Mytilus edulis: one gene and its partner. The protein of the gene in region 1 purifies or fractionates together with the protein of each later gene. This does not show direct contact. Links are inferred from orthologs where the notes say so. Each region holds a gene or a part of one and is shown on either strand. Other genes may lie near its edges. The genes, in order: myotubularin-related protein 9-like; ATPase inhibitor mai-2, mitochondrial-like.

What was found.
Region 2: the proteins of myotubularin-related protein 9-like (region 1) and ATPase inhibitor mai-2, mitochondrial-like purify together in Homo sapiens (affinity purification with mass spectrometry; 5 studies listed by BioGRID and IntAct, with this or other methods). This does not show direct contact. The link is inferred for Mytilus edulis from reciprocal best matches to the Homo sapiens genes MTMR9 and ATP5IF1.

The regions. Positions count from the first base shown.
Region 1 is NC_092355.1:76,958,951-76,976,280, reverse strand, and holds the start of myotubularin-related protein 9-like, read left to right. Parts: upstream 1-10,212; 5' UTR 10,213-10,337; intron 10,338-13,987; exon of another isoform or gene 13,988-14,187; intron 14,188-14,541; exon of another isoform or gene 14,542-14,704; intron 14,705-15,446; exon of another isoform or gene 15,447-15,556; intron 15,557-15,887; exon of another isoform or gene 15,888-15,953; intron 15,954-17,330. Other genes in the region: zinc finger C2HC domain-containing protein 1A-like, read right to left, coding at 10,018-10,033. UniProt on the Homo sapiens protein: Acts as an adapter for myotubularin-related phosphatases. Increases lipid phosphatase MTMR6 catalytic activity, specifically towards phosphatidylinositol 3,5-bisphosphate and MTMR6 binding affinity for phosphorylated phosphatidylinositols.
Region 2 is NC_092355.1:69,039,626-69,056,087, reverse strand, and holds the start of ATPase inhibitor mai-2, mitochondrial-like, read right to left. Parts: upstream 6,475-16,462; 5' UTR 6,444-6,474; coding exon 6,382-6,443; intron 3,689-6,381; coding exon 3,646-3,688; intron 1-3,645.

The DNA of each region.
Region 1 (17,330 bases):
TGGTATGTGACGTCACGAACGTCAAATTTTCTATGTTTCTACATGTATGTCAAGTTTTCATTTTTTTGCACACTAAATGCAACTATAAAAATAAATACAATGAAAAACTAAATATTTTATTTAAACAACAGCACGCAAATTGTAAGGTTCTTTGGATAAGTAATTGGGCAGTTCTTTTAAGGCCTTTGAAACAAGACAAAAGTAGAACTGTCAGAAGGTAACCCAGTGCTATGGATCAGAAAACAGTTCATATAATATAATACTCCTCTGTTGAAACATATGATAAAGCGTATAATACATGGCAAAATCCATATCACATGACGTATCACCCTCGACCGATATCATCCCTCGGGCCTATAGGCCCTTGGGCTGATATTGATGTCTCGGGATGATACGACATATGATACAGATTTTGCCATGTATTATTCTCTATATATTAAATACAGTGATATACATGTACTGTCAAATCATAACATGAAACAAAAATCTTTTAGTTAATGACCATGATGACCACAATAAAATAATTAAATATCATCTACTAGATTAATTATTATGTAGATGTTTTTCCTAAAAACCCTTAAAGGGGCACTAGCTACGAGATAAACAAAAAAATCCAAAGTAAGATTTTTTTTTGTTCAATCAATAATGAAAGTGAAATAGTGAAATAATAATTCACTTTTAGCAGCCAAAATGGTTGAATTTTGTCAAATTAAGCAAAGAAACATTGATAATTACTTATTCACTTGCAAGTGAATAACTCAACCTCATTAAATCCGTATTCATGTGAACTTTAAATTAACCCCTAGCTCGAGATTGCCAACGCATGCATTGTATATTACTGGTTATTTAAAGAAAAAGAAAGTCATCAATGAAAGTTAAACTACGATAAATCATTTGATTACTGATTCGATCCATAAAAAATCATTCTTATATGGTTTAAAACAATGAGTAGCATATATATTTTTAATCTATAAAATAAAATCAAACAGACCTATTAAAATCCAATTGCATGTGTTGGTTTAATCTATTCACATCTTTATTTATGTTTACATTGCTTATATATGGTCATCTGAGGTCAAATTGATAGTTAATTAGATGGCGTCTGGACTAAAATACACACGAAACAAACCTACATTTTATCTATCCCATGCTCTGTAGACTGTTTATTTTAAACTTTTGGTAGTTTGGATAAATGTTTTACATTGTTATCAATCAAATATGAAATTTGAGTCAAGTCGGTGACCATGGATTTGACAGCTAGTGCCCCTTTAAGATCACCCTGACTGAGTTTGCATTTTCAAAATGAAAAATTAACAAGATTACAATGAAGGCTAAGAAAAAGTACATAGTCAATCTAGCCATTTATAAAAGGGGGCTTCTCAACCCAGGATAAAGGGGGCTTCTCAACCCAGGATAAAGGGGCTTCTCAACCCAGGATAAAGGGGGCTTCTCAACCCAGGATAAAGGGGGCTTCTCAACCCAGGATAAAGGGGGCTTCTCAACCCAGGATAAAGGGGGCTTCTCAACCCAGTATAAAGGGGGCTTCTCAACCCAGGATAAAGGGGGCTTCTCAACCCAGGATAAAGGGGGCTTCTCAACCCAGTATAAAGGGGGCTTCTCAACCCAGGATAAAGGGGGCTTCTCAACCCAGTATAAAGGGGGCTTCTCAACCCAGTATAAAGGGGGCTTCTCAACCCAGTATAAAGGGGGCTTCTCAACCCAGGATAAAGGGGGCTTCTCAACCCAGTATAAAGGGGGCTTCTCAACCCAGGATAAAGGGGGCTCCAACCAGATATCCCCATTCAAAAGCATTGATTGTCATGGCTATCCTGTGCTACTTTCTGGCCTGTATATTTTTAACAAATTAAATTAAATAAATATTTTAAAAACATTCCGTTTCATTTAAAGTTAATCAATTTCAATTTCAATTTAGGTCTAATTTTAAATATATTCAAAATTCCACACGCTATCTGTAATTAGATCTTTAAACTATTTTTAAATAGAAGCCTGTGTACTTTATGCCTCATTTAAAAGTCCTATAAATGGAAATAAATGATACTTGAGATTAGCACAGCTCAATAAGGGTGGTGGTTTAAATTCTTTAATGATATTGTGTACACTAAGCTTCTGTTCATTTAAGCCGAGAGATTGCAACGCTGCATTACAATAATTCTGGGCGGTATCTGTGTTTATCACAACATCTCCATGTAAATACTAGATATAAATCAAATTATTTAAAGATACACAGTTTATTATTTAAAGTAGTATTACTGTCTATGAGTACTCTGTCATCTTAGGTTTCTCTTGACAGCAGCGACTGAAATTGATTTTACCTGATTAAAAAAAAAATGAACCCATTTTTAAGCAAAATGATTTTTATAAATCAAACTTTTCTTTCTTAATTTGTTTTGAAAATTTAGAGGGGAGATAATCAAGATACAAAAAATGTAATTAAGTTTTATAAAATGAATGCAAATTCTTTAACAAGGTGTTTGAATAAATAGCTTCAGTTTTCCGAATACGTTCATACGTTAATACGTTCATACGTTAATACGTTCATACGTTAATACGGGATGGTACATTAGGTAAACACATTTTTTCAATCAAATTTTTTTTTCAGTGGTTCAGCCTTTCTTCATTCTAAAATCCATCTATGGGAAACTTCTTAAGTTAAATTCAAAACAAGAAAAAATTTATATAAATTTATAAAAGATTTTAAGTTCAATGCATTTTCTTAAATAAATGTATGTATCTATATATAAAATTTCCTTTATTGTAAAATGTCATTATTGATCATAATCATCATGTCCTTACCATGCTTACATAATGTACAATAAAATTGAGAATCAAAAAATGGGGAATAAGTCAAAGAGACAACAACCTGACCATAGAACAGACAAAGTTACAGCCGAAAGGCCACCAATGGGTCTTCAATGCAGCGAGAAACTCCCACACCACACACTTCAGCTGGCCCCTAAACAAATATGTATACCAGTTCAGTGATAATGATGTCATACTAAGCATGCCAAATTTCCCCAAAACAATATTTTTAAAGTGCAATTTAAAAGGTTATGAACATGTTGATGCAAACTTGTTCTTCCTGCCAATTACAAAAAAACAAATCAGTCATCAAAATATGGGATTCATCATCTCTGTAAGGCCCCAGCTTATTGTAACATGGGATTCAATATCTGGGTCATTATCCCTAATGCACCGCCAATTAAGGAACACAAAAAATGTAGGTAAACAAAAATCTATGTGTGCATAGTGAAATTGAACATGTATCATAATCTACATGTACATGTATTTTTAACAAGTGACTGACGGTGACTGAGCTTAACCATTTGTGTTTGTGTAAAAAGTTGAGGACTATAGAATAAATGTGTAAAAAGTATGGAGTTATAAATTTATTCAAAGTATTAAATTTTAAAAGAACTAATTATTGTGTGATGGTTAAAATACAATACATACAGTTATCTCAAAAATATGGCAAACAATTTAAGTTTTTATATATTAGCGAGTTTGCAGACCTTTATTATAAATGTATCTAGATTTCATTTATTTCCATAAGTTAGGTGAGTTGGCAGGAGTTAATTTAACAGTATTTGCATAAATGTCAGTCAAGGGACTGTGAAATTTCCCAAGCCACAAGGCAAGGGAATTGTGGTCCCAAGACTGTTATTTTTACAATTATGACTATTACCCCTCCATGAGATATCTGTTTTATTACACCAAATAGATTTTGATTGAAGCTCTCTGAACAGGTAAAAGGACATCTATAGGGCTGAAAGGCACATACATGTACATTTTTATGCATTAGTTTTAGGATTTATAAGTAGACTATCTAGGAATTATACATGTATTATTTTAATTTATTTATTATAAAATTGAGAATGGAAATGGGGAATTTAGCATGATTAGCACTGTCTTTAAGTAACGTCATGGTATATATGACATAAACATGATTGTCAATCCATTCTAAAATAACTCATTTGTAAAAAATAAAGACTTCTTTTTCAACTTTATAGATCAGTTTTTTTTTTGGTATTTTTTACAGTTTTTGATTTACATGTACCTAGAGCTATCAATCTGTGAATCAAATCATGAGAAGAACCTCCTGAGGGTAAAAAGAGGACAAAGTCTCCTATTACAGTAGAAAAATAAAAAAAACAGAGACAAATCTATTTTTTTTTCTTTTTGAAAAATTTCCCACAAAAAAATCAGTCTACTATATATAGCTACATGTGACATTGACTAACATGAAGAATGATTTTAAATTGTTCTCAGTTCACTTTTATTTTTCAGACTTTTTTATTTTATCACATATATATATATATATGCATTGGCTGGCACAGAAATCTACATTTTGTACTTCCTTATTCCAGTCTTGTTTGTCTGACGAGACTTTGAGTAAAATATTTTTACTGATATATTAATCAGCCTAGTGAAATCGCTATTTGTCTACCATTACTGGACATATCACACAGGTTCCCATAAAATCTTGACACCATAATACATTTGTAATACAACAATTGTACAAAATATCTGACACCACAATGGAAAAGTGATTTATATAAAAGAAGGACAAAAGATACCAAAGGGACAGTCAAACTCATAAATCGAAAATAAACTGAAAAGGTCATGGCCAAAAATTAAAAAGACAAACAGACAACAACAGCACACACAACGTAGAAAACTAAACATGCTAAAGAATAAGCAACAAAAACCCCATCAAAAGACGTCATTAGTTCAAGCAGAACAGATTCTTGGGTCAGCCGGGAATAGCAATAAGGTGTATATAACTTATAAGAACAAACACAATACCAATTTCATATTTAATAATTTTTTGATATGAAAAAACTTTACCTGATGATAGTGTTTTTTGGTCTACCATGTTTATATTGAATATTAATCATACATACATGACATAACTTAAATAACGTCACAATTAAACATGCTATACTTTTTAACAACAGAGCCAAAATCAGAATTTTTTTTAAACAGATTTTGAAGTTTAAATAAAATTAAGAAAGGAATGTATTGAATTAGAAAAAAAATCATACAGACTTTGTCCTCTTACACTGGTATTGCCTGCCTCATTTACACCTCAATTATCACTATTTGTCCGCTATTACAGCTGGATACCACACAGGTTGCCATAAAATTTTGATGTCATAAAATAAATCAAAGCCAATTGCTGCCATGTTTATGTTTTGGGGACTTTTTTTTCATCCACATATATTTAAGAATTAAACATGACAGGAGTGTTGTCTAGTGAGAATTAAGAAGGTTTTAACTTTATATCAATTAAAGACTTAAGCAGAAAGTCATTTTTAATATGTTTTATATTTCACAAGGAGACAACACGTTTACCAGGCTAAAGTTGGGGTCAGATATACATGTGCTGAAACATATAACTCCAAGAGAAATTATTATGGATTATCCCCTAGTAGTGTTTGTAACTGGGCAATAATTTCCTTTATTGATTTAATTTTCATAATTAATTTAAATTTTACACTTCAGTTAAAACATTTCAACTTTCCAGACGCAAATGTTGAAAAACGGGAAAGAAACAAAATATTTTACAAGACATAAACATGTAAAAAATAAATATATATTTAAGCTGACTAAAAATATTTTCATAATGTTACTTTGTCATCATTTCTTAAAAACTAAGTCCCAAACGTTATTGCTCAGTTGATATGTGTCATCCTCATGCTGTACGAGATAACTATAATTCTCATGCAATCCCGAAAAGAGGGGCCATCACAGACAAACATGACATTAAATCGTCATTATACGAACACGAACAAACAGCTCTAAGTTGCTTTGATATCTATCCAATTTTCAGGAAACATTGTGAAAATGATCTTCAATATTTCGAAAACATGTGAAATATAATTGCAAACACGGTGGACCGTCGAGGGTCAACAAACGTAGTAGACTCGTCCATTGGAAAGACAAGGATAATGGTTTCATCATTTGTCATGCATACCCAGTTTTGAATATGATATCCAAAAAGGATGTACTTTTTTTAATCTATGAAACTAGAAAATTCCAAATTGTAAATATCTCTTCATCTGGACTTGGCATCTATCACATTTGGACGGGTCCATTTCATTAGTAAGGTGATCGATAAATCTTACGGAGTTATGACAAAAAAGGAAAACAAACTTATTGTTATGTGTTTTTAACAAGGGTTTCGTTCCTCTAAATTATTTGCGCAAACAAATCAACAAAATAGGTCAGTTAACTTTGTCTATTTTTAGATTACAGGTAATCATTTGACACTACGTATAACCTGATAACCTGTGTAGTGATTTTGATTTTACGATAAATTTATGAATGAACGACAATTTTATGAATGAACAAGAGCACCTGACCTCTTTCTTAAAAAAACACCAATTAAACATATAAAACCGTATATTATAAAAGATAATTCAGTCAAATTTTCAATACTAAATCAACAACTGAAATGATTCCATATTTTGTTGAAACATCGTACGAACGGAAAACGGAATCGCAGGTATAAAAATGCATTTTTTTTCACTCGGACGTCTATGTTTTTTGATAGTCAAACGGTTGTCCCCCTAAATACAAAAATATATCTACAAGAACGTATGCTGAAACTTCTTAAATCCACTAACGTTTTTCAAAAGTTTCAAGCTATGTATTGCATTAGAAAACATACATAGGTGTTTAAGAATGACAGACCAGGAGCCTGTTTAACAAAATACTATGGCTTGATCTGGGCGGAGTCTCTGATCTGGGTCACAAAGATGGCCATACGCGACGGCATGAAAGCAATTGCTTTAAAAATCTGATGACACAATGGAAAGTGATTGTTGTATGTGTCAAAAGTTCAAGCGGCTGGGTCAGCCAGAATTAGCGATAATGTGTATTAAATGAGTATCCAAAATGGCCGATACCATGGCATTTTCACTGATACCAGTAATAGTTGTAAAAAACAGGCTAATTCGTTTGAAATGAGGAAAACCAGATATATAGATAGAATAATATATGTGAAAAATACACCGGCTACCAACCAATCAAAATCTGGCCTTTTTTTTAAATAAGGTGTAATTATATCACTAATGTGCCATTAAAATAAGTTGATGGTGTCCCTAAAGTAAAAGTAGGGAATCCATGATATCTCGGCCTATAACATAATCGGACTATAACAAACTCGGCCTATAAGAAACTCGGCTTCCCAAAATCGGACTATAACAAAGTCGGACTATACCAAACTCGGACTACTAGAAGAATATAAGTATAATGTTGGTTGTTGTTGTTATTCGAAATTAATTTTCAATTCTTAATTTAAATGAATTTTTATCTTCAATTAATTAAATAATTGAACTTTTTTGAAGGGGATAAAAAAATAAGTTAACAAGATATTTTTAAAATAAAAGTACAAAAATAAATCTTTTTGAAATTCATTTATGAAAATTTCCACTGATTTGTCTTTTCAGTATTATTATTTGTAATAATGTCCCTCTCAGAATATGTTTTTATTATATGCATATCTTAATTGATTATGACATCATGCCACGTGTATCGTTGATACCTTTTTTAATCATCATAGGTTAAACAAACAACTGGCACATGTACTGTTGACACCTATCTTATCACCCAAGTCAGGACAAATCTATCTGTTATTACAGGAAATTTGGTACTAAATATCCAATTAAATGTGTCTTGTCTTGTATTGGCTATGACTGGACTTCAGGTTTTTTTTTATTATTATAAATTTTGTGTTAATTATTATAAGACAATTCAGTGAATTGTAGCATTTCTGGTTTTTGATCATATTTTGAAATAGTGAAATTGTTATGAAGCCATTCACTGTCAATCAAATTTCTCTGTGTTTATTTACTATAATCATAAACACCAAGGATTAAACACAATAAAAACACGAACACACGCCACTCATTAAAATATCTTTTGCAATTGTCAATAAACATCATAAATCACAATAACATTCCAATGTAAGTTAATTATCCTCATTGGATCTCCTGTAGTTGGTGATCGCAATACTGGTATACCAGTATTGTCCACAATACTGGTATAAAAATTTTGTACCAGTATTGTATTCCAGTATTGTACCAGTATTGTGCTTTTTTTAAATAAACAATATAGGTAATTAATCTTTTATTAAAGGTGTCACATATATGCATAATGAAATTAACATATGACATGACAATTTTATCAGGAATGATTGTGTTTAACTGATGATGCCATAGATGGTACTCTGTGATTGTCATCAAATAAAGTTTTAAATCTTCTGATGTTTTTTTCTTAACCATTCTGTCTCAGCATTTTAACAAACTCTGTACTTTCTTCTATCTTTCCAAGATTCATGTAGTATATTTTAGTGAATTTTATATTGACATTAATGCTGTTATAGCTTCTGTATCATCAGCATTGGTATTGTCTATTTCTTCTTCAGATGTGATTTCTGCAACCCCTCCCCCCTCCTATATTCAGTCTCTGTGGACTTTCTCTAAAGCTTACTAGATTACAAGCTATTTCAAATAGCATTTGTACAGCTCTCTTACTGTCAGAATGCTGGTCTAGTATTTGTACCAGTAGATATATATGTACCTGCTACTAATTGTATTGTCCATGGTTCTGAATCAACTGCTTCAACCCTTAACATTCATGTAGACAAACTATTTAATTTGATTATAACAAGGTTCCCCTATAAAGCAACTTTTTATTATTAATGAATAATATTGATATCTTTTGTTGTGAAAGATTAATAAGAAAATAAAGACAAACAAATGCATATGATCTTAGTACACAAAAAATGTATACATGTATTAAAATGTTTGTCAAAATATGTGATGGCATACATGTAAATGATGAATTTACAGTGTTAGAGTCTAATAATTTGCTTGAATTTATTATATTATTACTCAGATAATAATAAGCTTTTATATAATAAATTTTAAATAATATAAAATTATTAGCAATTGTTTAAATAATAATGATGATATGAGTTAATTTCAATAATCTTTTGTTTATTTGTGCAAGTATAGTAATGACTTTTAACTGGTTGTTAAATAATTATTGATTTCACAATTATCCTCTATAATCTTTTTGAGTTCATTTAATCTCCCTTTGATCTTCAATATAGTCTAGTCAACAATACAACTACAATACTGGTATATCAGTAATGTACCAGTATTGCTGTTTTTTTTTAATAAAAAGTTACAATACTGGTACAAAATTTTTATACCAGTATTGTGGACAATACTGGTATACCAGTATTGTGGACAATACTGGTATACCAGTATTGCGATCACCAACTACTGGCCTTGAAGGCATAAAACTTTGCTCAGTGCTTGGAGCACAAAAATCGTGCTCGAAACATGAAATCCAGCAATTTGATTGGTTGATTTTCGAGTCTGAGTTCAAAAATCATGCTCGAAAGTTTTATGACCGTTAGGCCAGGAGATCCTCCTCATTTAAACATATCTAATTCAACTCATATAACAAATATTAATCATTTCTATATACGATTTTTTTTTTACAAAAATATTCATGATAATCTCATAAATTCGTATATTATTTTAATATATAAGTATTTTTTATTACAATCTTCTAATCGTACTGTAGTCCGAGTTTGTTCAATATATTTCTGCATATAAATAATGGTAGGCCGAGTTTGTTATAGTCCGAGTTATAGTCCGATTTTGTTATAGTCCGACTTTGTTTTAGTCCGAGTTATCCAGCAGCGAAAGCAGGCCCTCTCACCAAAGGCACTTGTTTCTATCCATGGGAAGACCCACTTGGATAGAAACAAGTGCCTGTGCCACTCACCAGCTCACGGCAGTTGTTAAAACTTATTTTCAAAGTTAAAAAATAAACATTTTGTTGGTTGTCTGGTAATCTAAAACTAAATTTTATGTGAAAGATGAATTATTGTTGCAGTGAAGCTTTAACATGACTTCGACAAGCTAATGTCAATATGAAAAATACAGCAATATTTTGGTCAGCAACCAAGTTGTTTACCATCGTAATCCGCCATCTTCCAAATATCCAGCGACACTATTCAGCAGCAAATTAAATTCTTTCACTCTTTGAGGGTATAACAAAAATGTTTTTTGAAATTTTAAAAAAGGCAGTTTATTTTCCTTTATTTGAAAATAAAAAAAAATGAAATTGTGTTGATTTAAATTATATATTTTTTGTACTCGTATTTGCCTCGGAAATAAAAGAGTTGTCTGCAACTTCCGGTCTAAAAAATTATGATAAATTTTCAGCACGAAACCAGCGACACCTACAGAATACAGAATACAGAAACCAGAAGCTGACTTTATATCTAAATCTAGGTATATTTACAAAACAAGTCATACCTGCCAACTGTCACTACTTGCGGGTTCCCAAAGAGAAATTTTACAAGAGCAATTTTGTCCACTATTTTAAACAAAACAATGAATTTTATCATGACTTTAAGTTTAAATAGGCTTTTGAAAGTATGAAGAATCACAAAAACAACATTGAAATGCATTTAAAAGCCCCCTTTAAGTTTTTTAAGGACTATGACAGCCATCTTGCACGCAAAACCTCTGGGCAGGGGAAATCATAGAGAGGGGAGCCTAACTCGCTTCAGATGATAATCAGACAATGGCGGCTTTATTTCGGAAATATGTAGATTTTACATAACAAATAAGAATACAGTCCGAACATACCGATAAATTATCCTGCTAGTTCGATTGGCTTAAAGTTTTTTCGTGTTTTTATTTTGATAAGTGTATGAACCCTTGACCGGTTATTTGGGGTCTTCTTCTACACTCCCAAAATATGATAACAAACACGTCTTAGCACACGAATGTACTCAATCAAAGTGTTTTCTACGTGTATTATGAAAACTATAGAAAAGGGGGAGGGGGGAATACTTGAAAAAATAATTTAAATTTGTTTTATTCGTTTAAATTGGTCTACCGATATACAAATTTCATTACTGAGTAAAAGTAATTGAAAATGAATTTATATTTCAGCAAGAAATTTACATAAAATGTTTTTTTTAAACCAGTTTAATTCTGTCAGTAACAAATCCAGTACGCATTTTTTCACCGGAGGAAAAACTATCGGTGCTTTCACTTGCATAATTTTGATTTTTGGATATCATGTATAACACTTGCGGTATCCTCGTGTAAGCATTGATTTGCTTCAACTGAGTTACAATTTTTAAAGATTTGTAAATAACAAAAAAAAAGCGGAGCGAGGCAAAAATTTTTGAGGTTATTTTTTTAAAAATATTCTTCTAAAGGGGTGCAATGTAGGTATTTCGAACTATTGTGAGGTACAGTCAGCAAGAAATTAAAGTTTCAAGTAGAAACCACCTAAATCCAACCTGACAACAATTTACAATCACTATAGTATCATGGACGGACAGATGTAAAACAATATATGTTCCTGTTCCGCGAAAAACCTCTCAGTTATGATGACAAGGTCTCTTACAAACTTGAAAAATCTTCAACAAACTCCTAACACCAATAACTTACGTACTACATGTAAGAGATTCATTCTGCATATATATGATAGAGTTTATAAAGCTGCAACCCAAAACAGAAGCTGAAGATCATGCGAACAATTTATTTTGATTCTGTGTTCCTATGCAAACTGAGTGTGCAGACCAATCTACACTGAAGACACCAGCACTTCTAAAATAATCAATATAAGGTCATAAATATCCCTGAAAGACATTGGTGCTGGTAATTGTGATAAACAGAAACATCACAAAAACAGGAAGCCCTTGTTTGCAGATCGTCAATGTCACTTAGCCATTCAACATGGTGTAAATTATGTGAAATGAAACCGGTTCACTTAAGAATTACTTTAACACTCCATAACACAATCATCGACAAACTTGGTTAGGACGATGGAAATGTAAAGAGTTGACAGATAGACGGGTGGATCGACGGAAGCAAAGTGAGACAAGATAGATCACATCAGCTCACATGACCAATACTAGATACTAGTATTAGATTTCGCAAACGAAAATTTCCACTTTTCGCGGTGATTTCCAATTGTCCTTTAATTATATGTTTTAACTTTTTGGATTTTCGGAGGTCGTGCCAGACTTAATATATACATATACTGTGTTCGCCACAAACCACTAAAATCAGAATGAGATACATTTACGAAGTTATTTTTATTTTGTGGGGATACGGCCATGCACGTATTTACGGTATACATAATTCGCCACTTCGATTATCAAAGAAATTGATTATAAAACGGCAAAAACAAAGTAACAATTGTTTGTAATTTAACAGCTTAAACATGTTTTTCATTTTTCAATCAGACACCTTCCTTTGAAGTATATAATATTTATAGAACTTGAATAAATTGTAGGTCAGTTGATTCTGTTACTTAGTATAGAAAGTCCCTGGTTAAACTGACTGTTTTATATACTTTGAATGTTAAGAAGGAATGGTCTCTTCTGATACTGAAACAAGTTGAAGACAACCCATACTTTGCAAATTTTAGGGGGGGGGGCGTACGCCCGCCACGCCCCCACGTAAATCCGCCCCTGGTTCAATGGCGGATCCAGAAATATATATAGTTTTTATGCAAGTTGGCTTCTTTATCTTAAGTATTGTTCACTGAATCAGGATAGGCGGATCTAACCCAATTTATAGTGACAAATTTGGTTGATATATATTGTCTGCTTAATTCTATAATTTGCATATTTAAAAATCTGGATTGCAGATCTTTGATGATTTTTTTTAACTATGACGATTAGAAGCTGTGACAAAAGAAACAGCTAGGTATGAACCGTAAGCTGCAGTCAGCAATGTAACCATAAATCGTATGTCCATAATATTTGGAATGCAGTTGTCAGAAGCTGGATAAAACTTGGTAGTTAGGGTGCTCGCACCCCTCTCATTAAGCTTCATTTAGGGTCAGTCAAGATTTTTGCAGGTTTCACTCATAAATTCGTCTAGCTTTGGGACCCCTCCACAAACCACTTTTACAAATTCTAGATATGCATCGGGTTGTATTTACTGAAGCACATCTTATACTAAAAGTCATGGAGTTTTTTTTTAGACCAGCCCATGTTCAGGGTTTATTGACTAGAGACCTTTTACATGCAGGGACACAATTTATGAGTTATTTTTCAGTAGATGCATTTGGTCTCTGGTTGAGAGTTGTCTTTTTCAATCATTAGCAATCTTACCACATATTTTCATATTTCTGTGTTCAACTGTTTGTTCTTAAATGTTAAGCTGTTACACCGTCACAAGTTACAGGAGAATTTGCATGTACAGTATGTGTAAGCCCACCACATTCTCATTCTGTATGACTTTGTTCTAAGTAAGTAGTTTGAAACTCTGTTTGCTTTTGGTCATATTGAGTTTTATTTGTTTATCACTTGCATTTTTATGCCCCACCTACTACAGTAGAGGGGCATTATGTTTTCTGGTCTGTGCGTCCGTTCGTCTGTCCCGCTTCAGGTTAAAGTTTTTGGTCAAGGTAGTTTTTGATGAAGTTGAAGTCCAATCAACTTCAAAATTAGTACACATGTTCCCTATGATATGATCTTTCTAATTTTAATGCCAAATTAGAGTTTTTATCCCAATGTCATGGTCCACTGAACAGTGGGGCATTCGTGTACTGAGGACACATTCTTGTTAGATGTGTTGGGATCCTGATTATACACCAACAAACAACACTACCTTTAAAGACACCATAATGATCAATGTGACAGGGATATCTACATCAATACGGTATTATTTGCATATCCTTATTCCTATAGCAAAGAGTCTAGGACCATGTATTTTAAAAGTCAAACAAAAAAAACAACAAGAACTGTCAGCACTAGATACATAGACCAATATCTCAGGACCACCTAATTGAATAAGATTACCAAAGATTTCAAATAATTTGGAAACAGGGTTAAATAAATATAGGTCTAATTGGAGCTTGGTAATATAGCTGTATATAGCTACTAAAAAAATTGAATAGAAAAAGAAAATTAAGTGTCTAGTACTCTTTATTTACATTTTTATCTCTCAGTCAAACAATGAATATTTTTGTTGTTTTGGTAATAGTGGAACATCTTTCTAAAACACACTGCTTTTTTTTATTTCACTCTTAAGAACAAATTCTGCTTCAAATTAATCAATATGTAGATCACAATTATAACCTTCATCTTCACCAGTTCTGCATTCTAACCTGAAATATAATGTTGTACATGAAGCAAAAAGCAAATCTATTTTAAAGAAAAAAATAACAATATGCAATTTAAAAGAACAATTTAAATGTGAACTATATCTATAAATGTCTAAAGTCTTTAAGACAATAACACTTCTCATTTTATTGCAGATATAAAAAAAAAAATTTAAAACAAAACCCTTACATTTTTCTAAGCTTTATCAAATTATCATAAATATATAAATTTTACAAAATCATTTCAATCTAAAAAATTAAATTGAAATAATCGTTGATGTTCTTAAAAAGTGGCAGGGTGTCCTGTTGCCTTTGACCCAAAAAATGAAGAACTATTTGAGTATAACTTTAATAACTTACCTTCTTTCTTTCATTTTGTACATGTAGTTTATGAAAAGTGATTTGTTACATCACAACAACATGTACAAGTTATCAAAGAATCAAAGAACTACAGCAGTGTTTTCATAGTCTGTAAGACAAATTGGAAAACCAGCTAGGATGTTGTGTCTAGTATTTCCACTGACTGAAATTATACGAAGACAAAATATGAATATGGACATGACTATAAAGTACTGGATCAATCAAAGAATAAATAAATATCATAGTGTAGGGTAGCTAAAGGACCCATATTTGAGTGAAATAACTTCACCAATCTGACATGGATATATATTGTTTTGCAACATGATGAATACAGATATAGGTGAAAATGTAACCTTTTCCTATATTGTTTGGGTTTCCTGTCAATATTTTTGCTCTGCAATAAAAAAGTAGAATACCAATGTGTAAAAAGAGATTGAAAAAACAGCTTGTAACACCAAGAAGGATGAGAGACGAAGAAATTATTGTAACTTTAATGATGTAATCATATATTTCTGATAGTTTTCCAGACCTATCCACACATATTTTTCAAGCTTGAGAAGATGACCTTCATGTTTTCCAGCAGCATATTTCACCTTCTGTATAGGTAGTGCCCCCCTTTTGAGTTGAGAGTAATTGTTCTAAATTGTGTTCTCCCTAGTCCAATGAAATGAAACTGAACAAAATGAAATGAAACTGAACAAAATCTGATACTAATTCAAATTATTATACATATAATATAAATGTGTATGTATTAAAAATATATACAGATAAATAAGAAGAAAAGGATGGCACATACGATTGATTGTCAATGAGACAACTCTCTGTCAAAGTACATGTAACAATTAATTAATGTATTGAATTGAGCAATTAAAGTTTAAATTACAGATATATTGAAATATTCATACCATACAATGCCTGCACGTTTTCAATGATACATCATGTGTGTTAAAGTACACAAACAACCGGTTATAGTCGCTCATTTGCATAACAATGAAGCGGCATAACATGTGCGTCAAAATGCATAATTTGCATCCGATTTGCAATGTTGTTGCCATATAAACATTCAAAAACATATTAAACTTTTATCGGACCTTTAATTTAAAGAAATTTCTTATCCAAAAACGAACAATTGTCAAAAATTCATAAAACCAAGACTTGGTTTTATCAGACATGTGTTTTCGCAACATTCTTGGCAATCCTGAACTTTTTCTCAATAACCATAATAATTTTGTTTATAAAAATATGATAACTTATAAATTTTTAACTCACAGTACAATATGCACTAATCCAATACAAAATTGGTTTGCTAGATTTTCTTAATTCAACATTTCAAATTGACGACCTACCTCTCTGAGTATGTCCAGTTTTTTCCAATATGGCGCCTATCCGGAAGTTAGGAAGGCCTGCTCTGGGCATTTTAAAAAGATGGCAGATATATCTAGGTAATATGAGGCAGGCATTACCTGGGACGAAATCTATATGATTTTTTTTTTTTTTAATTCAAACATATTTTAATTTCAAAATGAAAATACTGTAACGTTTCCTTTTTTGGTTCTGTTGTTCATGTTCATGATGTTAGGTATTTAAGTTGTGACGTTATTAAAGTTTGTGATGTCATATGCAATGCAAACCAAGTAACACTATCACATCAGGTAACGTTTTTTCATATCATGGAATTATTAAAAATGAAATTGGTATTGCGTTCATTCCTATTTTATACTAGACTGATAAATATATATTTTACCCAAAGTTTCATGCAAATTAGACTGGGAAAAGGAAGTACACTGTAGATTTCTGCGCAAATGCAGGAATTAAAAAAAGTGACAAAAAAAAGTTAACGATTTGAGTTGATGATCATGAATGATGATTAGTACAATGAAGAATTCGAGAAATTTTCCCGATTTTTTTATTTTATTTAAAAAAAAATTATTGATTTTTTCTACTGTTATACAGGACTTAGTCCCCTTATGAATGCTTAATTCACGTTGATGTTTGTTTAACAAGAGATGCATAATCCATTAATGACACATGACTGTCTTTAAAATAAATTCAATAAATCGTGGTGAGGTCGCAGTATTAGCGGCATGAAAATATAGCTTTTCATTGTTATTACAATGGTACTACATCCTCATTTCGATTCTACAATGAACCCCGCTACAATTATACAACATTCCTATCTGCTTAATTTCTGAGTTCCATTTAGCCCAAGTTTGGTACAGGCAGAGTTAGTAAGTCTGAGTTTTCCATTAACCAGAGCTTGTTTTAGTTAATTAGTCATGTTAGTCTGAATTTGCTATAGCCAGAGTTTTTTTTTAGGCAAAGCTAGTTTTAGCCATGTTAGCCAGAATCTGTTGTAGGCAGAGTTAGAAAATCTTGAGTTCACTATAGCCTGAGTATATATTTTACTTTTAGGCAGAATTAGTATCTGAGTTCACTATAGTCTGAGATTATTTTAGATGGAGTTGTTAAAAACAAACCATCAAAAGTAGATTTATCTTCAAAAACAAATGTTATAAGCAAATACCATATATTAAACAAACAATAGAAAGTATGACTTGGTTCATGCACAAAACGTTTTATGTCCATACAAATATCCTCCTTTGCCTTTCTAGATCATATGTAACACAATAAAAAATGTACTTATGTATTTATAATAGTAGCAATCATGCCAATGTATACAGTCATCTTCTGTCATGTTTGTAGAGTCTGTATGCAGTCGTCTCCTGTCATGTCCGTAGAGTCTGTATGCAGTCGTCTCCTGTCATGTCCGTAGAGTCTGTGTGCAGTCG
Region 2 (16,462 bases), about 7.9 Mb from region 1:
TAGCTAAAATCACTTTGTTAATTCACAGTAAAAAACGCAATTGCATATATTAAAAAGACGATGGGCTTATATTACACGGACGGTATTAAAAGTTATTCACTTTGATACTTCGTTAAAAATAGTCTAAAATCTAAAATGACACTGATTCACTTTATGAAATTAGTATAACCATGGTCTGACACTATTAAATATCTGCATGTCTCTATATTCAGAACATCAGCTACCACTTTGATACAGCAATTGTCTGTATATTACGTCTATTATTGTAAACAACAACGTATTCAAACCGTGTCTACGCTGTACAGTGTAGCGCGATCGGAAGTATTTTATCCCTCCATACAAGGAATGGTGAACATGCTAATTCATTACTTATTTAAATTATATTTATTTGAATTTTCATTATAGAATTAGAAGTATCAATATTTTCATTTAAAAATTTGCCAAGTCTTAATGGTCCCCCCTTAGTCGAGAATGACCAAAAGCTGTCATGAAGGTCCCCATGTAGATTTCTTGTATTTTTGGTAATTGTTATGGGGCACAGGCACTTGTTTCTATCCATTGGAAGACCCACTATCAACGTATATGATTTGCAGCAACAACAAAACGATTCGTACGGGTTATGTAAAAGGTTAAAGAGATTTGTAAAGCAAACGTTGACAAATGAAAAGGTTTTTAATGACTTTATCTGGCAAATTGATGCTGTGCAACATGCATCTTTGGAGTCTGAATAGAAACCGGAAACGCGGATGTATCAATTTGATTGTAATATACGAAATGAATTCGGAATTACGATACGATATTTCTTTACAGGAAATATTTAAGTTTTTACTTTTTAAGTAATTCTAAATTATCGTTACAGCAGTACTCAAGTTATTTGCGATGAAATAATATTTACTGTTTTGCGTCTTATTTTGTACTTCTTAAAAAAGGGGGATGCTGATTGCGTAAGTCAAAATAAAGCACGTGTTCGACTCGTTAAACTGTTTTCTTTGTAACTGGATTATTAATTTATTTATTAAATCTAAATCAGGGTTGGCAAAGTATTACCCACCCGGAATTCCCGGGCGGGAAAACCCGGGTTTTCCCGGGCTGGGCAATACTCCCAGAAATGGGTAATAGTGGGCATTACTGGGCAATATGATTTTTAAGCTTATTTTAACACAAAATAGTAAAGACTTGTTATAGTTTCATAGTATAACAGCTAAATATATACTTTTTATACAGATAACTAATGAACTATTGACAGTCATTTCTAGAAAATTCAATTTCATTCTCTTCTCTATTAATTTTATATGTAGGCAGAATACAAGATTTGTACATTTAAAGATACCTTTTAATTACCAAGTATTGTTTCAAAAATTCAAACTTTAAAAAATGCCTTTTATTGCAGTGTTTAAGTGAATTGTTAATTTTAATTGTTAAACATTCATATTGCTAAATAAACACCCTACAGGGTCATGCCATTAACACTTATAAAATTGAAAAGATTGATTATTGTTACATAAACAAATCTGTGTTCTAATCTGAATAACTACTTATTAATTAGTGACAGTACATATATACATTATTTAAATGTGATGTTTCTTTAATACATGTTGTAATTGTTAATTCTTAATAGGCAGTGAAAGGAGCTATATTCATTTGAAAAAAAAAATAATATTTGCTTTCTATTTACAGTTTGCCAATCTAGACAAATTTTGCTAAACAAACAAAATAGGGTATAAATATCTTATTAAATGTATTGCATTTGTGTTTATCACTGAATCCTCTTTAAAATTCAGACAAATATTTTATATTACCCATTATTGCCCAGTATTTCCCACTAAAACCCAGTAAAACCCGGGTTTTCCCAGTATTTCCCACTGGGCTGGGCAATACTCATAAAACCCGGGTTTTTGCCAACCCTGATCTAAATTATCATAATCATTTGCTGAAACTTAGTTGATTAATTCGACAAATGGATCGTCTATCCTCAGATAGTATTCTCCTGTCTGGTTTGTTGATCTACCTGTACAAGCTCAGGTACAAGTGATTAGCGATCTTAATCCGGATATCCCTTAGGTGTTAGAACTGTATTGGATTATAACATAAAAAGCCTAAGGGTTATGCAATTACATGCATTTGATTATAATTGATAAAAAACTAGAGGCTCTCAAGAGCCTGTGTCGCTCACCTGCTAATGTGTTTACTGATGTCGGCCATCTTCGTTGGTAGGCGGGGTCATTAGACACTTTTTTTTAAAATAGATACCCTAGTATTATGATTGTGGCCAAGTTTGGTTAAATTTGGCCAAGTCGTTTTAGAAAAGATTTTTATACAAGTTACAAAAATGACGAAAAGTTGTTCAATATTGACTATAAAGGGCAATAACTCCTTAAGGGGTCCTCTAACAATTTTGATCATGCTGACTTATTTGTAGATCTTACTTTGCTGAACATTATTGCTGTTTACAGTTTATCTCTATCTATAATAGTATTCAAGATAATAACCAAAAACTGCAAAATTTCCTTAAAATCACCAATTTTAGGGCAGCAACCCAACAACAGGTTGTCCGATTCAACTCAAAATTTGTGAGGGGATATATCTTATTCTGATGGACATTTAAATCTTGAAAGATTTGCCCTAAATGTCTTAGTTTCAAAGATATAAAGCAAAAACTGCATTTTACCACTATGTTCTAATTTTAGCCATGTCGGCCATTTTGTTTGGCAGGCTGGGTCATCGGACACATTTTTTAAACTATAAACCACAATGATAATTGTGGCCAAGTTTGGTTAAATTTGGCAAAGTAGTTTTGGAGAAGAAGATTTTTAGAAAAGTTACAAAAAATGACGAAAAGTTGTTAAAAATTGACTATAAAGGGCAATTACTCCTTAAGGGGTCAACTGACAATTTTGGTCATGTTGACTTATTTGTAGGTCTTACTTTGCTGAACATTATTGCTGTTTACAGTTTTCTCTATCTATAATAGTATTCAAGATAATAACCAAAAACTGCAAAATTTCCTTAAAATAACCATTTCACAGGCAGCAACCCAACAACAGGTTGTCCTATTCGTCTGAAAATTTCAAGGCAGATAGATCTTGACCTGATCAACCATTTTACCCTGTCAGATTTGCTCTAAATGCTTTGGTTTTTGAGTTATTAGCCAAAAACTGCATTTTACCCCTATGTTCTATTTTTAGCCATGGCGGCCATCTTGGTTGGTTTGACGGGTCACGCCACACATTTTTTAAACTAGATACCCCAAGGATGATTGTGGCCAAGTTTGGTAGAATTTGGCCCAGTAGTTTCAGAGGAGAAGATTTTTGTAAAAGTTTACGGACGACGGACGCCAAGTGATGAGAAAAATGGTGTCAGGCTACAAAAAACGATGAAGTTTGAACGATGGCGGAAGACAATTTAACGATGGTGCGAGTCATTTGACGATGGCGCAAGACATTTGAACGATGGCGTGGTGCCATAGTTAAACAGGCCATGGAGATCCCTGGCTGAATTTAACAAAACTTTAATCAGGGTATATTGGCATGTAGGGGTGATTTTTACAGGCCAGGTAAAGCATTTTACAAGCCTGGATTGTTTGAACTGTGGTTGAGATACATTGTAGAAGACTGTTGGGGTGAATTTAAGTAGATATGTTTTTACCTTTCCTGCACCACTTCCCCATTCATCACTCATGGCCCTGATTCTGAAATAAAAAAATCACAACATATTACAAAACATGAATGACATGAATAAATAGAGATGTGGTCAGTGGCGGATCCAGAAATTTTCATAAGAGGGGGCCCACTGACTGCCTAAGAGGGGGCCCGCTCCAGTTATGCATCAGAGATTTCCTATATATATTTTGTACATGTATGTATTTGAACAATTTATCTTGTGGTTCAAATTTAAAAAAAGAAATCCTGATTAAGGAGTGGGTTCAGCCCCCACAAATATGTTTCACCCTACCATATTTATTATGTGCCTGTCCCAAGTCAGGTTCCTTTAGTTCAGTGCTGAGTGGTTGTAGTTAGTTCATGTAGTTCATGTCTGCCATATTTGTTTTTTATAAATTGTTTTTTTATATATTTTGAGTCTGTATGTTTTTGTAGATTGTGTTTGTTTCTATTTATTTATTTTTTTTTTTTTTTTGGGGGGGGGGGGTCTCTGTTGACCATGTTGACCTTTCAAATATTTTGGGCCATTCTAATTATCCTATTTAAAGTATTTTGTGTGTGTGTGTTTAACTGTGATAACTCCAGTGCCAATAAGTTTTGCACACTGCTATTCATATATAATTGTATGAACATGTACATGATTACCATGCTTAAAGTCATAAGAAACCTCAAATTTAAAAAAAATATGCATATGTTTTTTATAACTAAATGGATAGTTTTCATTATACAACTTATGTACATATACTTTTTTCTGAGGAAAATTCTTTAATTTGTCCACATTTAGAAGAAGTTTACTTATTTTTAATTGCTTGCTTCCAGGAAGCAATTCGCCGACATATTTTCCGTATGCATAGTGACCCGAGCGTAACCCTCCTCGTAAAAATCCGGTAATCGCAATACGCATGGATCTGTATTGAAATAAACAAATATCTGAGTATACATGTTAAACACGTGCTCAATACCCATGCTTTTTGTGATTTGTTTACTATAAGGTGACAATCGTTAAAACTCGGCTTCAAAACACGGCATTTAATGAGCAGCCATATTTTTTAAATCATAACAAACAGAGAGAGAAAAAATTGACGATTATAGGATATATTTGCGAAAATAATGATAAAATCGTGCACAGAGGACTAAGTTTATGATATATACATACATTGGTTCAAGAATTGGATAAACATTATTTTTCACCACTCACTCGTTTCATATGACTTTAAAGACAAATATTTTTGTCCAGTCCTTGCAGTTAACAAGTTAACAACTTTCAAAACCATACATCGTATATATACCGGTATGCTTTGGCTAGCATATATAAATAGTGCAACAATAAGCAGTAATTGTAAGCCTATTCAGATTTTTTTTTGCACTTGCATTTGAGCATTCCATAACCATTTTATTACATGAGAGACTTACTTCACTTCAACACACCGCTGAAAAAAGTAAGACCATGAAAACAGTTTGAACAGACATTCACTTTATTTAAAGAGGTAGGTGTTTAATTTGTGAACAATATACAAATGTATATATTTATAGTAAAACTTTTTCCACAACTACAACTGAGGTTTTACTGCTATCAACCTTTTCATTCAAATTTAGTCTCATGAAAGAGGGGTCACTCTTGTTCAAACCTATTTGTACTTTTAATATGTCTAAGCATCTTTCTTATCAGAGTTGAGCTCAAACTAATTATTGAAATATTCCTATACCAAATTTTTGATTATCATGATTATATATATGTACATAACCATTTGTCCCTATTCAAATACATTGATGGTCCCCCCAAATGAGGGAGGTTCGAAACCTTGCTATTTGTCTGCCATTACTGGACATCACAAAGGTTCCCCTAAAATTTTGACGTCATAATACAAAATATAAGACGCCACAATGCAAAAGCTATTGTTGTATGACGTCTATAGTTTAGCAGGGGCAGATTCTCGAGTCAACTTGAACAGATTTCCAAATGAAAGAGCAATAAGGTGTATTGTCATGATTGTGGGTCAAGTATTTTCTATTATAACGTCAAAATTTTAAGAGAACCTGAGATATCCCTGAAATGCAGACAAATAGCGAAAAAGGTGTATTGAACCACCATTGTCATGATTGTGCCGTATATTGCCATTTGAAAAGAAATGCGTGACAACACAGGCCTGCCAAATAAGTTTCCAATTCAATCATACATGCATCAGAGGCGGATTAAGGGGGGGGGGGCAGGCCCCCCCCCCCTTTTCCTGGGAAAAATTTGGTTGCTTATATAGGGAATCACTGAAGCATGACTGGAGCAGCCCCCCCCCCCCCTCCCCCCCTTAGGCAGTCAGTGGGCCCCCACTTATGAAAATTTCTGGATCCGCCACTGTGCATAGAAGTGCAAAACCTAGTAATGATCCAAAGAAGTCAATGATGTATCAACTTTAGTGATTAGGGATAAAAATTTACGGTAAACAAAATCTTAAAAAGAGGGGTTACTATAGACTGTAATCTTTTAAACCTGTTATCCTTAAATTATGTAACTCATTAACACTTTAACGGCAAATGTCTTATGTGGTTTTCCGTATTCAAAAAATGCATTACTGTATAAAACGTAATACACATGTGTGTTGACCATGCGACCTTCAACTGTTTGAATAGAGTAAAGGGCAAATTACTAAGTTCTTATGTGTCGTTAAAGCAATTTAATCTCTGTTATGAATACTTTGGTAGTTTTTTAATGCAACAGAAACATTACTTTATATTGCCATACCCAATAAACCGCAGGGAGGTTAATCTTTTAGCTGCTTGCAATGCCATCGTTATTTTACGTCTGCAAAGTTACGGATATAGAACCAAGGGAGATAACAACTATGGAGCGCATTTTTAACAAGAAACTTTTATTCATTGGGTGTCATTGGGACGTCGACATTTTCATCGTTTCTAATAAAGATATAGAATCGTTTGCAAAACTGAATTAATGTTACATAGCTTGAAAGTAATGATTTTTTAAAGTTTAAAAATATATTCTATTTTTTTCCTTAATTGTTGCAAAAGATATTGGGTGGGAGGGAGTGACATTAAAAAAGTGACGAACACCCCAAAGCATAATAAAAATAAAAGAAAACTAAACCGTGAGATTAACTAATTGATAGAATGATATGTTGTGCCACTATCATCATTCGGTTGACTATTTCAAGTCCTGGCGACCATTTTTATTGGTGGGAGTAGATGAGTGGGCCTGAGTAGTAGTAGGAGTGTCAATTAAGTTTGTGTAGATAGATAGATAGATAGATAGATAGATAGATAGATAGATAGATAGATAGATAGATAGATAGATAGATAGATAGATAGATAGATAGATAGATAGATAGATAGATAGATAGATAGATAGATAGATAGATAGATAGATAGATAGATAGATAGATAGATAGATAGATAGATAGATAGATAGATAGATAGATAGATAGATAGATAGATAGATAGATAGATAGATAGATAGATAGATAGATAGATAGATAGATAGATAGATAGATAGATAGATAGATAGATAGATAGATAGATAGATAGATAGATAGATAGATAGATAGATAGATAGATAGATAGATAGATAGATAGATAGATAGATAGATAGATAGATAGATAGATAGATAGATAGATAGATAGATAGATAGATAGATAGATAGATAGATAGATAGATAGATAGATAGATAGATAGATAGATAGATAGATAGATAGATAGATAGATAGATAGATAGATAGATAGATAGATAGATAGATAGATAGATAGATAGATAGATAGATAGATAGATAGATAGATAGATAGATAGATAGATAGATAGATAGATAGATAGATAGATAGATAGATAGATAGATAGATAGATAGATAGATAGATAGATAGATAGATAGATAGATAGATAGATAGATAGATAGATAGATAGATAGATAGATAGATAGATAGATAGATAGATAGATAGATAGATAGATAGATAGATAGATAGATAGATAGATAGATAGATAGATAGATAGATAGATAGATAGATAGATAGATAGATAGATAAGATAAGATAGATAAGATAAATTTTATTTTCCAAATTAGATAGATAGATAGATAGATAGATAGATAGATAGATAGATAGATAGATAGATAGATAGATAGATAGATAGATAGATAGATAGATAGATAGATAGATAGATAGATAGATAGATAGATAGATAGATAGATAGATAGATAGATAGATAGATAGATAGATAGATAGATAGATAGATAGATAGATAGATAGATAGATAGATAGATAGATAGATAGATAGATAGATAGATAGATAGATAGATAGATAGATAGATAAGATAAGATAGATAAGATAAATTTTATTTTCCAAATTAGGTCCCCAGGGGGGCATATACACATAACATATATAATTGATACAACATACAGTATTTTACATAACATTGTAAAATAAACTATTGAAATAGTCATACAGGTATTAAATCAAAAAGTGTTTGAGAGTTGCTACTCCAGAGATGTGGCAAACCCCATTTATTTATTTACTTTTAAACCAGGACATATGTAGAAGTCTACTCTGGTACTCAGTGAACATCCTTGGAAACTCGTATGGCCATACATACCAGGCCTGTATGGTGTATACAAGTAAGTAAATTTGGCGTTGAGTATCTGTATACTCATCCAGGAATGGCAATCCAGACTGCTTTGGAGGAGAATAAACAGGAGAAGAGAGAAACAGAGGACCAAACAGACATAAATGAGGGATTGTTAATTAGGGTTTGTGGTTTTTTTTTATTTGTTTAAAAAATATATAGACCACAGAATAAATTATGTTGACATAATCTTTTAAAACACTAATTTATTTTGAGCATAAGTTTTCCCTTTTTTATTGGGTTACTGCAAACATTTAAGAATGGGGTAAGCGTATACTAAATACACAAATGATGTAATTACAGAATAGTCATGTCATTATTTTAAAGATAAAGAAACAGGAATGAAGCCCCACAATCCATATCCTTGTGTAGAAAGGACGCCAATTAGCTGGGGGGGGGGGATTGTACAAGAAAGGATTTCAATGTACAACATGGCGATAAAGCAACCCATCAAACGAAATGTGTAGCAATTAGGGTCGGATCTAGAATGTAAGAAAAAAGGGGGAGGGTCTATAAGCAAATTGATAAAAGGGGCCCGGACAATATATTATCAACAATACGTGTAAATTTAAACTCACTAAACCCGCCTCTGGAAATAAAGCACAATATTATTGATAAATAATGTTCTTTTCAATTTTCGTAGGCAAGGTGTATTCGATTTGATCGTTTGTATAGGAAAAAGATACACTGATCACAGTTCTTCATTACGAAACGTGTATATACTCATCATAGATACCAGGACTAAATCAAGTTTTGTGTATACGCCAGACGCGCGTTTCTCTACAAAAGACTCATCAGTGACGCTCGAATCCAAAAAAGTGAAAAAGGCCAAATAAAGTACGAAGTTGAAGTGTCAACGTATATTTGTTCCACCTAACAGAAGTTCCTCTGGAAACTTTGTTATAAACAATGTCATAATTTATGTTCCTGTTGGAACAAATATTCTATACCATTTATTCCGTTAGGAACATTTACTGGAATATTTATTCGAGTGAAAATAATATTCCAGAATAATGTTTCCTTTAGGAACTTATATAATGAAGGAACTAAAGATTTTTTTCGCTGGTATTTACTGATTGTCAAAGTCATGTGATTTGCTATGGTGGAGTTGACCAGTGCGTTGAAAAAACGTCACTCGGTCATTTTGAAATTTAAATTACAGTAACACATTGCTTAATTGAGCAAGAACGTATTGACTTCTTTTTCACTATTCCACCAAACAGAAAGTATTACCCTTCAGACTGTAGACTATTACACTATCATGAAAAAAAAATTCCACAATATTATTTACCTACGAAAACATGTTTATCCCCAAAAGCCCCAGCCTATTTTATAACTAACAAAGTGGAATAATGATCCCCAGTCAGTATAAGGTCTAGAAAGATTTCAAGTCTCAGGTACGAACCATTTGATTTGAGGAGGCAGTCTGAGATATTTGAGAGAAAAAAACATTGACTCTGATTCTTGCCTAAAACAAAACTTCTGGCCGTATCTGGATTGAAAACAATAGTCTTGTCCACTTTTATGCTAATAGAAACGAAAATTTCCAACAAAATTATTTAGCATTAAATGAACATCATGAATAAAAACGGGCGTATTTTTTATTTTTTTTTTGTGGCCGGGGTTTGCATGTCTGCCCGGAAAGTCTGTTTCGCCGGACTTACATATTCGTTGTCATTTCAGACTCTGTTGGGTGAAACATATCAACCAAACATTTGGATAAAAACTGCCTGTTTGTCTTTTCTAACTCGTGTCGGTCGTATTGCGGTACCACGATTTCCCGAGAAATGCAAGAAAAACATTCTATCCCAAAAACAAACTGATATATTCCGAGAAAAAGACTTTTTATGGTGTTATGCTACTTTTTACAGTGTTATACTACTTTTAACAATATTAAAGAATATTACTTAAAGATATTACTCGTTTTTATTCGATAAAAGTGCAATTTCAATTCAAAAATTCGATTTGTATGACTTGTTACGAATGCAAATTCCTTGTTAATACAAAATACTAAATTTTCTCAAATTTTGTTCATCAAAGAAATATGAAGACAATCGCTTGGTATTATTTTAGTAACATTTGCAAATAAAAAGTTATAATTTACGATTATGGTGCTTGTTCTTCCAAAAAAATGATTTCTGCAAAAAAAGTTGACCGAACGGAATCAAAATTCGCCAATATTAAGATTTTAATATTTTGACCTGATCGACACAAGTGTTTTCATCGAATAGCCCGGCGTTTATCTTGTTTACAACACGAAATCTGTGAGGTTATGATAACTTAACTTGCAACAAACCGGCGATAATTTCCATGTCTATTTTTCACTGACAAGTCCCACATCAATTAAGCTTTGAATCCATACTATCATTTTATGAAAGACAATTAATAGGGAGAATATGAAGCATCAAAAATGTCCCACCCTTACACTTTACAGCAACTATAAAATATAAATGCCCCACGACAGGAACCGTTTAATTATGTATTTTTTAGCCCCAAAAAGGTCCCAAAATTTTTTTCCCTCGCTCCGCTCGGCGAATTTAAACCTTCGCCCCCCTTTCCAAAATCCTGGATCCGCCCCTGGGACCTTAGAAAAAAACGTGTTAAAACTACGGAGTTATAATATGTATTCAAAGTATTAAATTTTCAAAGAAACTATTGTGGGACTTTTTACCACGAAGAGCCGCAACACGAAAGGATTTTTGGGGTATGCTAATTTACGGAAAAATTAATCACACTTCGTACCCGGAAAATGTAACCACATATGTGAAAATGTCTCAGCTGCGAAACAAGCTATCATACATATACAAGTTTGCGATATGAGCTGAGCTACAGAAGAAAACGTTACCATTATCGCATATGGAGAAACAATTGCGCATAGTGCCCCAAGTATTCATGATTTACGTTATCCGACAACAATGTGAACAGATAATTGCTCCTTAGCTGCAAAATGGTTGACCATTCGGAATAATTATTCAAGTCCCACAAACATTAAAAAGATTTTATCCTACAAGATATAGGCTGGTCATTATCTTGCATTCAAAGATTTTTTGTATAAAAAGACTGTTTAACAAACAGAGCGAATTAAATACATTCTTTAACTGGATATCAGCAGAGGCAGAGGGACATAACAATTTCTTTTATTGTGAATAACAAAATTTCTCATTTGAATTATTGACTATTCCAACGGTTAACAAGACAAACATTACAAATTTCCCAATTTGCCAGACCAAATCAAACGATGCTGATTATAAAGAAGATGTTATTTTTGCAGAATATTTTTGAAAAAAACACTTTATTAAAATATATAGGGTTTATCATCTAAAATGATTTATCACGGTATATCAGTGGACGTTTTTTATGCTAGGAATATCGCTTACATATTCCATTGTAGCCAGTATGATGCTTCAAAGCAGTATGTGTTCTCATTGCAAGCCATTCTAGGACAGAGCATTATAAAACCCGTTGGCAGTTTTCTTCTCCGATTAGCATTATGAATATTCCCAGAAGAATATTAAGATATCCATTAGGGCTTATGTAGGAAATAACACACACATTCTTTCTTCTCATATATTTTATGATGGAATGATACAAAACTATTAACGGAAGGGATTGTGCTTGATTTTCATATGATGAAGACATAATCTTTCAGTCAGTTTAAATAAGGTCTTGAGCTGGCATGTCAGAAACTGCTACTAGTCCTTTGTTTATTTATATATCATTGTCATTTTCCTTAGTTTCTGTTGTTACCTTTTCTGACAACGGACTCGGACTCACAAAACTTGTTAAACTCCGCTGCATTTTTTGAGCTTGTCGCAAGTCAGGAGCTTATGGACTTTGTTACTTTTGTATGTTTTTCAATGTAGTTTTTGAAGAAGTTGAAGTCCAATCAACTTGAAACTTAGTACACATGTTCCCCATGATATTATCTTTCTAATTTTACTGCCAAATTATAGTTTTGACCCCAATTTCATGGTCCACTGAATATAGAAAATGATAGTGCGAAGTTCAGGTTAAAGTTTTTGGTCAAGGTAGTTTTTGATGAAGTTAAAGTTACATCAACTTGAAACTTAGTAAACATGTTCCCTTTGATATGATCTTTCTATTTTTAATTCCAAATTAAAGTTTTGACCCCAATTTCACGGTCCACTGAACATAGAAAATGATAGTGCGAGTGGGGCATTCGTGTACTATGGACACATTCTTGTTTTATATCTTTTAGTTCATATACATGGATATGTTTTTGAATCTAGTATGGTGTACATTTTCACTGAACTAATACACATTTTTATTTAGGAGCCAGCTGAGGTACAGCACAGGGTGCGGTATTTTCTCGCTGCTTTGAAGACCCATTGGTGGCTTCGACTATTATCTGCTCTTTTGACGGGCTATTGTCTCTTTGGCATATTCCCCATTTCCATTCTCATTTGTATTTCACTTATTGAAAAAATCAACACCACCATTGTGTGGGACAGCTGCCATTAACAATGGAGACAAAAAAAAAATAGTCAAAAGATAATTTCAACTTTATGACAACAAATCTGTTAATTTGATCAATTCTTGGTATTCTAAAAAAGTAAGATTAGATAAACTATGATACAGATGCCTCTATAGAAGAACACGAAGAATGAGAAAAGCTAGCGTAATCTGTTTTTGTTACCGTCTGATAAAAAGAAAATGATACAACAGATGCAATACAGTCTGCTTCATATTGATAGTCGATGAGGAACTTCTATCCACTGTAAAGATGTGTCGATGTCCAAATAGTGAAATCATAATTACCATAAAGCATCGTTTTTACAGCACAGGTCAGTTTGACATGAAATTCAAAGTATTGCGTCTCCTTTAGATACTTTAGAGGATGATTATTTTGATAAAGAAACCATTGAAACATAAATGAATACTCGTATGATAGATTAAACAGTCATTTAATTACCGTTATATGAAATTTTCACATATTCACACACACAATATAATTTCCTGAACTTTAATTGCATATTGAAAATGATATACGAGATGTCGTAAAACTACTATTGCCAAAAGCCAGAAATACTCTTAATGATATAACAAAATGCTTATAGCGCATAGATTGAACGGCTATTTGGAGTGTTTCGCCTCTCTTTTAAGGGTGATCCTGTGTTATTGTGTAATTAAAAGAAGTATCATGTAGCAGTATATAGACAGATCGCAATTTATATTGAAATGCTCAAATGTAGATTGATACCTCGACAAACCTCCACTAAACAACCTGGAGAAATATACAAATATTGTTTTTCCCAAGTCAGAATGACCAGATTTAGAAAATTGTTCTAGAATACACTACAACTATCATTGGAAGTGTTTATCATAAAGCGAAAGGACATCAAAAAGTATATATCAAAAAAATCTTATAAAGTCAGAAATTGTTTTTCGGCTTTCCTTACCAATGGAACATGTTGAAAAAACCCAGAAAGTTCCTTAAATTTGAAAAAAAATCCTGTACGACAATATAAAATGGTGCATTTCATGCGCGCTATTTTGAGAAACAATCATTAGGATTGTTAAAAAATAAAGAAAAAAAGCAAGAGATATTTTTTATTGAAATTATTATCCTAAACACACTAAATATTATGTGTAAAAAATAAACATAAACAATGAAAGGTAAATTGTTTATCGGTTCCAAAATGTTTTGTGCAAAAGCAATATAAAACAAATATTATCCAATATATGAATAAATGGACAAGAAAAAAGTTGTTATGGTTTATTTCGACTGGAATATTTAATAAAAAGTCTTAATAATCAAGCATCAATAAACATCAAAGACCAAAACTGTCTTCCCCCATTCATTGACAATATATAACTTTGTATAGTTTTGGTTGAAGCACACAGCGACTGGTTCTTTGATTCCATGTTGAGAATGAAGTGGAATATCTATCACCTTTCCCTCCTGTGTAAGTCTGTGTATGTTGTTTGAACCTTGTCCACTGACGTAAAGGTGTCTATTATCATCAGAGCATATATCAGTCGGTGTTTTAATGGTTGTGATGCTAGAAAGTTTTTCACCACGATAATTCGGAGCTTGAACTCCTCTCTTTCCGACCAGTATATCATTTGTGCCAACTGTACACGAAAAAAAAGTTTTCCCATCAACTGTATGTGTCTTCACAACACCAGCACCAATAGCAAATCCTTTATTACCTGTGTATACTGTTTTGTCCCCAATGGCACTGAAATAATTTAAATTAGATCACAAAGAAAAAAAATAGTTATAGTGAGCAATTTGGTAAAACAGCGACCTTGAACAGTTACACCAACCTTATTAAAATAAATGTAACAAGTTCAATTGTTTGCTTTCGTAGGTAAGTATACTGATTTAAGATTTTTTCGAAACCACAATCGTACAGTTGTTTGAAATATCTATTTGCGTTACACATGAAAATGTATATTCTTTTTATTGTCATCAGCGACCGAAACAATGGCACTAGAAGTTTGTTATACTACAATGTAATATTTAGAATAATTTTCTGTGCTGCAAACTAACGTGGAGAAATTTTATGATGGTTTTTTTTTCTTTAACAAAAAATGTTGGTGGTGTAGGCAGAAATGCAAATTAAGCTTTAAAGAGATCAGTATTTTATCTTCTGTGGGATGTGTTTTTTCGATTGAATTCATTTGTATGTATAAAAAAGATCCAAATATATTTCCACCTGCCATAATCTAGTTTTATGAAAATTTGTCTAAGTTTAAAGGGGCCCCGGTAACCAAATGTCGAAGTAGTCGAACTATAGCATAACTGACATGTCAAAACTGAGGATGCGAGTTCGAATCCCGCACGAGGCAGGAGAGCTCAATTCGTAATCTCTTAGTTGACAATGTTGTCAGTTTTCAGGCTACCGAAGGCCGTTGGTTATCTATGGCTTCCTTCACCAATAAAAAATGACCGCCACAAAAATAGCACCATGGTACTGAAAGTTGCGTTTAACACCAATCAAGTAATCTATAAGTTTTTAATTGATTTATTTTTATAAATATCTCGAAGATCCATACTATAATTCGAGTTTAAATAAGGAAATTATTACTGGTTCTCTGTAACTATTTTTAAAAACTCTTACATATGGAGTGTGGCACGCATGGTCATGGATTTTCAACAAACTTCACACATTTACTAGTATTGATGAAACATACAAAAAATTGCAAAATTTTGGTTGCTAAGCACATTGGTTTCCATAGCAACCGATGACTGGTTTTACCTCTTTTGGATATCTTAAGCGCAAAAAGGCTATTTTCAACATAATTTTTCATAATAAATGATTAAGAGAAAGAATGTTTTTTTTATGATTTTATTAAATTTATGCATTTTATTAATGTAATTAAATAACTGATATTTTCATATTCATTTTCAATCATAATCACATACACCCCCCCCCCTTTTTTTATGTGTTTTGAATAAGGTAAACAAAATACCCTTTGGGGTCATTTTTGAATGCTCTGAAAAACTGTTTGCGGACACCTGAGTTAGAGTCGACCATGAATTCATAAAAAACATAGTCTTATCTTATCAAAGATGTGAAAAAGTCATGAGGAAGTATGTCTCATTTTTTTGTTACCATGGATACGAAATGCTTAGTTTTCATTTTTTCAGATATTTTTATTTTTTGAAAAACTTTGAAGAAAAAAAATGTTTTAAAACCTAATTCTGCAGTCAGAAAAAAAAATATAAAATTTGTAGAAATTATTGTAATCATCAAAATTTTAGACATATTCATATATAATGGTATTATACTAGTTTTCACTGTGTTGCTATGAAAACAATTTTATGATGATACACAAGTTTAAAACAATTTTGAAAAAGTTTCAGTTTCTTAAATTTGCAGAAAGGTAGGAAAACTAAAACGCTTATTAAGTTTCACTGTATACACACATGTGTATATATGTAGGACTCAAATCTATGGTGGGTTCCAGATCTATGGCAGATCCCTAATCTATGGTAAATGTGACGTCATGCCATCTCAAATCTATGGCAAGTTTTGTTTTCTCCAAATCTTTGGCGGATTTATGTTGTTTTCAAATCTATGGCAAATTTTGTGCAAATCGAAAACAATGCAGTTAATGTTTCGACCAATGACTTGTCTTAAGCAAGTGGCAATATACAACAACGAGAGCATGTCTATTAAAATTGGTGATATAAACATTCCATAATGGTAA